Linked DNA regions of Daphnia pulex. The protein of the gene in region 2 binds, or shares a complex with, the protein of the main gene of each other region. Links are inferred from orthologs where the notes say so. Each region holds a gene or a part of one and is shown on either strand. Other genes may lie near its edges. The genes, in order: protein Dr1-like and SAGA-associated factor 29-like.

What was found.
Region 1: SAGA-associated factor 29-like (region 2) and protein Dr1-like share a complex: the UniProt entries of both Homo sapiens proteins name them as parts of the ADA2A-containing complex. The link is inferred for Daphnia pulex from reciprocal best matches to the Homo sapiens genes SGF29 and DR1.

What each region holds. Positions count from the first base shown.
Region 1 is NC_060021.1:11,079,118-11,082,415, forward strand, and holds protein Dr1-like, read right to left. Parts: upstream 1,796-3,298; 5' UTR 1,637-1,795; intron 1,554-1,636; exon of another isoform or gene 1,513-1,553; 5' UTR 1,504-1,512; coding exon 1,287-1,503; exon of another isoform or gene 1,224-1,286; coding exon 1,082-1,223; exon of another isoform or gene 1,023-1,081; coding exon 875-1,022; 3' UTR 824-874; downstream 1-823. Other genes in the region: uncharacterized protein LOC124194693, read left to right, coding at 1-146, 225-318, 386-418. UniProt on the Homo sapiens protein: The association of the DR1/DRAP1 heterodimer with TBP results in a functional repression of both activated and basal transcription of class II genes.
Region 2 is NC_060019.1:9,072,258-9,075,989, reverse strand, and holds SAGA-associated factor 29-like, read right to left. Parts: upstream 2,168-3,732; 5' UTR 2,048-2,167; intron 1,989-2,047; 5' UTR 1,891-1,988; coding exon 1,852-1,890; intron 1,790-1,851; coding exon 1,655-1,789; intron 1,595-1,654; coding exon 1,472-1,594; intron 1,409-1,471; coding exon 1,250-1,408; intron 1,184-1,249; coding exon 955-1,183; intron 874-954; coding exon 695-873; 3' UTR 667-694; downstream 1-666. Other genes in the region: uncharacterized protein LOC124191408, read left to right, coding at 1-105, 297-395, 453-593. UniProt on the Homo sapiens protein: Chromatin reader component of some histone acetyltransferase (HAT) SAGA-type complexes like the TFTC-HAT, ATAC or STAGA complexes.

The DNA.
Region 1 (3,298 bases), on a different chromosome or scaffold from region 2:
TTTGAAGCCGTTTTGAAATATTTCAAATTCACACCTAAAAAAAATTCAGAGCTCGACCCAAAGGATTTCTTTGGTTTGTGGTCTACGTTTGCGTCAGATTTTAAAGATATTTGGAATCGTGAACAGCAACGTATTATCAAAGAAAAGTAAGCCTTTTTTATATTTTATTAATTTTTTTATTTATTTTATTAACACAACAATTCATTCTTCTTTCGCGGATTCAGTTTGGATAAAGCTAAGCAAGCTGTGAAACAGAAAAAATTACAGAGTAGTTCAAGTTATGGCTATGCTAAATCGAAAACTGACGAGGGAACTTTGGTAAGTCGTCCAGTTTATTTGCTCTACTTTTAAGATATGGTCTAACAATGTTTTTGCAATTTTACAGAAAGCAAGATTGCTTAGTCGAAAAAAGAAATAATGTTTGGAATTTCACTTTTGCCTTTTCATATTTATATATAACTTCTTTTTCCACCACGACACACGTACTTTTGTCCAATACCACTATGATAAAGTTGAATTTCTCGTAATCTCGTAACACTTAGATGTCGATCAAAGGCTTGGTTTGTCCATGTTATTTATCCTCTCAAACCTTATTATACTGATATAAAGTCGATTTGCGGCTTGTCGAATTGTTAAGCATTCAAAATGAAAAATAACTTGTTAATTATGCAATAAGTCATGCAGTTAAATTCTTTCCAAATATGAGGTATCTGAGTAGTATAAATAATGCTTCAAGTACAAAAGTAAAGAATGTTAGGATGGTACTGATAAATAATAATTAAGACAACAGTAGAAATATTTCAAATACACTTCATTAAGCTCATTCTAGAAATCAAATTTTGTATGTATTGAATCAAATTTCACAAACAATCTTCTAAGAGTATTCTCCATCTTCTGAATTTGATGGAACATCTCCCTGTTGTTGCTGCAAGGACATTTGAGCCTCTGCTTGAAGTTGTAGCCACTGTTGCTGCTCAGCAGCAGCTTGTTCTTCTCTGGCTTTGGCAAATAATTCCTGCTGTCTATATTTTAAAAAATATGTATTAGACTAATTAAATCATAAAAAAGTGATAAAACTTACTGTCTCAATAGCTCTTCTTCTGGAATTCCCAAGTTTTCCAACCTTGTACTTTGGCGCCTCCTTTTGGCAGCAACAGCTTTACAATCTTTCAACACTGCTTCAGCATCAGTACGGTAGTCATTGAATCCAAGCCTATCTAATGCTACAACCATGTGTGTTAGATTATTTTTCCTTTCCATTACTTTACAACATTTGTAACAATTACCTCCAAGTATATGCTCTGCATTAATAGTCTTTTTCTGTTGCTGAGTACAAATTTCATTAGCCTCTGAAGCCAAAAGGTGTATGAACTCAGAACAACAGTTAAGAATCAATTCTCTAGCTTCATTGGCAACTCGGACACTGGGAACAATCTCTTTAATCATTTTGTTCATAGCAGCTCTCGGAATGGTCAATTCTTCTTCTGGCACAGCTTCTGCCATCTTTAAAGCCTGTATATCAGAAAAAAAACCTACTGTCCACAAACAGAAAACTTTATGAAGAGCAAAGGCTTTGTCAGCCAATACTAGAAGGAAACCGTAATATTGAAAAACAAATTTATGACTCATTATATACCAGAAAATTATATACGTAGAATTAAAAGAACAGCACACACGGTAAGAGTATGATCCTAAATTCTTTCAAAGTTTTCACTAATAATTAACTTTTCTCTCGTGCAGAAGAATGCATAAACAAAGCAATACAACAAACTACACCAAACACACTAGATAAGAAACTAAAATGAATCGCTAAAATAACCTTTTTTTATGCGCCTCTACCAATCGTATACAGGTACTAGGTTGGGAATGTCCAGAACCTTATCCATCTGGTGGCTGCGACTAGTACTTCGTATCCGACTGATAGAATATATCAGCTTGCACCATTATCAGCTTGCACCATTAGTTAGGCAATCCAAATTCATTATCATTATAGGCATTACGAAACAAAAACTAAAAAAGACCATTGTTTTTTCCCCGCATAATTCAGAATCAGGTCATTTTTGGTTGTAAAATTGCTGTCATCCCCCTGTGATTTCCACGCAAACCTTGAAATGATTGTCATTTTTATACTACAATTTCTACTTCATCGTCGGTCCGCGAGGAATTAGAGGAAAAGTCATTGACAAAACCAAGAATACGCCTAGGTCGACCACGGCACCACGCAAGGAAAAGAAAAATTCCGGGTAAAATATCTAAACTTCATTCGTGTTGCTTATAGCAACTCGATCTATTGAAGGTTGTTGACAAGCAGTGTTATTGTGCGTGTTAGCTTTGTTTTTTAAATTCGAAATTCAGAGACCGAGTGTGATTCTATTTGCGCTGTTTGTAAGCAGAGCTATAGATGACAGCGTGTATGGCAGAGCTATACATCTATAACTCTGTTGTAAGCATAAAAGGCTAGATATTTTAATTTAAACCTGAAGTCCTTAATGAATAGGATATTTGTCGTTTGTAGTTTGAATATGTTTTTTGATTTTTTAAATGAAAACAAAATCACAAAAGCCCTTTGCTTGCTAACGGAGATCAACAACTGAGAAGTTAGAAAGAATTCGGGTAATTTTCTGAACTTCGTAAAAGGGCAACGTCGCTTCCCATTCCTCACGGAAGTTCGTCTGCACTGTGCAAGTCTGCAGACTGCATTGCAGATTGGTGAGTTGGTGACGATGACATCATCTGCATATTTTTTCAAAGTTTCAATCATGGAATTGTTCGATTGTAGTGACTAGTACGCAATAATGAGTCCGTTCACTCTAAAGTTTGTTTATATTTCTCGATTGTCTAACTTATGTTACCCACGGGTGTCCCGTTGCACCGTGGACCTTGGAATGTGGATTGTGGTCGGTGAGAAATTGACGGTGGTAAAGAAACTATTGCCTGGGGGACCGTAAGGAGTGATATTAATCGAGCAGCCCCATCAATTCCAATAGTTGCTTGAAAATTTGGGCAAGAACGAATTTGAAAAGCCCTTTGTGCTTTGTCTGCTGCAATACAACTTGAGGCAGGTGGCTACCATGTTACAGTTGGAAAACAAGCACATAATTAAATCACCTTGCTTTTGTCGTAAAACACACTAATGATTTATTACATTTTAGGTCAAAACAAATCCTGTCTGGATCTTGACGTAGAAATTGATAGACATACTTTTCATACTGTTGTCAAAGTTGAGAAAGAAGAAGACAGACATAATCTACTCTCTGCAACACTGGCATTATATTGGCCCACTTTCACGTTGATTTAC
Region 2 (3,732 bases):
GAACCTCGTACGCAATTTAGTGCCAGCCAAATGGAAATGAATCCAATCCGTCGAGCATATCGTTTTCCCCTTGATTTTGTCTTCTCTAAACTTCAATCTAGATTGGTAAGTAATAATAAGTATTAACAGAACTTAAAACTTTTGTTATGGGTAACATTTCCCCGATTTAGTTCGAGCAGATGTAATGTGAACTAAAACACTTTACTTTTAAAAATTAATTAACTGTCCATTTTGTGGTTGTGAGACTACTACATAATTCATAAAATCTGTGTTCTAATTCTTTTTCTTATTCATAGGGCGACAAAACTCAGATTACTCGCTATTGGGTTGGTAAATATCTTCTTGCTGGATGGCTGGTTTTGGGAATTACCTACAATCTGAAGTACAACTCTCATGTAAGTATTTGCCTCTAATAGTGGACAGCACCCAAAATACTACATTTTAACTTTTAGGACTGGACTCGCAAGAAAGGATTTGCAATTTTCGGCTCCAGACCCGCAGTTTACCCAGGAGATCCGAACTTCCCTAAAGTTTCCGATAAAATGAAGCCTTCTGACTACGCCGACTACGGATTCAAAAACTCCCCCATTTAGATTCTATTTCATGTTTCATACGTGGTTGGAAGAAGTAGTGAAAAACACAAATCCTGCTGTACAGAAGAGAGAATAGAAAAAAGGGTCAAATGTATTTGAAATCATTTCTTTTTCTCTTTGATAGCTATGACATATCGTTGCGCCACCATCAAAGGCGGACTGAATCCTTCAGTATAGCTAGAATCTTCAAAAAGAACTTGGTATTCATCTTGAGCTGTTTGGGGTAATTGATTGATTACCGCTTTGTAAAAACAGGTCGTTTGTGGATACAAAGCCATGACTAAAAACAAATGTTTAGTATGTTAATAATATGCTAACGTCGGATCAGCTAAAATTTGCGATTTTTTTGTTTTGTTTTTACCAGTGGCTCCTTTTGAGAACAAAGCATCGGGATCGGTTTCAGGATTAGCTCGCATCAAAGGAAGAGGAATTACTCTGCGTTTGCTTAAAGTGTGTCGCTCTTTCTGTTCCTCGTCAATATCATCCACTTCATAGCGCCCAGAAGAAGCTAAATATTGAACGACTTCTGCCAAAATCCAATTCTCATCGCCGTCTGTACTCTTTACCAAAGCCGCAACAATATCTCCCAGCTGACATACATATAAGGTGTTTCGGTTAGTCAATTAACAGTTTATGACATTCGAATAATGTAATACTTTGGCAACGTAAGTTGGGTCAGCTGGAACTGCTCCACATAATGCTGGTGGCTGTTGTCCTGACTTACTGATCCACAGCGGGAGAGTTTGAGCAGTAACGAGAAGCATTTTCATGAGAGCACCTCTTCTTATAGTTTCCTTACTGCCAGCTTGTTTTGCCTGAACAAGAATGTTAGTACAATGTTAGGTGAAATTTTCTAAGTTTACGTTCTTGGGAATAACCTGAATTCTCCTTTCATGTCTGATAACGCGAATTTCATAGATTTTGCTTAATGCCTTACGAATAAGGTCCTCTTCTTTTTCAGCATCAGCCACCACAGAGCAATACAGTCCTTTTAATTTAGACTGATAATTTTATAGGCATTCATTAGTGCTGATTAATTAGTGATATGGGAATAGAAATACCTTGTGATATGGAGAAATTTTGTCATCTGACTGAAGTTTTTCATGAGCTTTGATAACAGCATTTAAGTTACCTTCATTACGAACTTTCTCTTCTTGAATCTGCTTGACCAACTTGTAGATCCCCTTCAATCGTTCCTGCACCCCAATCCAAATTAGAACTAAGTAAATACCTTAACAACTGATTATATCAACCTTACTTGGACTTGCTGTGTGGCAGAATCTAATGACAAAGCCATGATGTATATGTTTAATAACAACTACCTCTCCTAAATGATGAGCTCAAACCAGCAATGATGACTGGAATCCAAGCAAAAGCCACCAAGAAAACCAAGAACTAAAGAAAATTAAATTCTGAAATTTACATATCTTTTATGCACAGAAAAATAACCTTACTAAATTAATGAAGATGAGTTTAAAAACAGTCATCGGAAATCAGCCTTCCAAACAATAAATTGAAAATCGTAACATCGGCAGTTGCTTTGTCGTCACCATGGCAACTATGGCATCAACTGTATTAGTTCCATTCGTCATTAGCAGATGGCATGAGCATGCTCAAATTGTATAACCATGGCAATAATTTCTAAATCAGGCCTTTTTTTCGAGTGGTTTTATTATATAGCCTTTGATCATTTTCAACTCTCAAATTATTTAGTTATTTTGTAGTCAGTTATTTTAATATTTTGCACATCCCTGTAAAAATGTATCGGCATTGTGTGGTAACTTTTTGGTGATGACTGACGATAACTATTCCACCAAGAAAGCTCACCTGTTAATTTTTCGATAATTTTTTTTATCTACTAAATGTATTTCACGGAGATGACGAATATTTCGTTTATTTTCCGTCCCATTCTAGTCGTCCGTGGATGCTCAGGGCTGTCACTAGGTGGCTAAATATTTCAGCGTGTTTAGGGATTGAACTATTCAGCTCTAGTGTGTTTGTTTCTAGAGGGGTGTAGGGGGATGGGTCATCAAACTGTCAAAGTCCTGAGACGACTGACAGAACAGTCTTTCTTTTGCTGTCGAGACGCTGTCCGAGAAGGTAAAATTTAGTCATTGCTGGTACTTTCTTACGTGACATTGTTGATCATAGACATGGTAATTCCATTTTTTATTCTTTAATTTTATAAAATTTAATTTTGTGTGTGGTTCAAAACGTGTAACATTGTCTTCAATTCATAATTGGTAATCGCATGTGGCCTGCTGTACATTCCCACAATGTCGTCTCTTGCTGAATGTTGCACGTTTCGTTCCATGCAGAACAGTAAAAAGTAATTATTGCTTAACTTTTTAATTCAAGACTTTGTTTCTGAATTAAAATTGTGTGACTTTGTTTCAAAAAGTAATTTAAATTTTTCTATTAACTGTTGAGCAGTAAAGCCTGAGCTTCATTACGTTTTGTTTTGCAAATTGTTTCAATTTCCAGTTGAATTATGCCAAGAGCTTTCACAGACATGCACTTAACTTGTTAGAACACTCGAGTGGGTTAGAATTTGCCTATATTTTAGTCTACTTTAAAAGTGTGTGCTACACATGTGATTTTTGTCAGGAATCAGGTCAGACATTGAATTCTCGATTTAGATGACATTTTACAACAACTATATGTTTCTAATTAAGAGCTTTTGTGAAAAGATTTGCTCAATAGAATTGTATTTTTTAAATATAAAACAGAAATTAACCCTTTCTTGTATTTGAAAATGTAATTGGTTCATTGTTTTCCTTTGAACTTGATTTACAGGATTTCTTGGTTAGTTTGATGTTGGAGCTGCCAATGGTGTTGATGCAGCGTTCATGGTGTGAGCAGTGGTTTTGCAGTCATTTTCCAGTCGAGATGTCTTGAGGGCGCGTTTTCGCAATGGAGCTTGTCAAAATGGAATTTTCGCAAATGGAGCTTGTGCAGACATTCACTTCAACATCATATTTCAATGTGATATTTACGTAATGTTGATGTTCTTGCAGTGTTGAATGGTTGTGCAAAATAGTTGATGTTGCCTGGTGGCTGTCGGACATGTTTTATCGGCTGCCTTTTGTCGATGTGTCGTGTCGTCTCTTGCCACCTGTACGCACGTTAAGGTAATGCT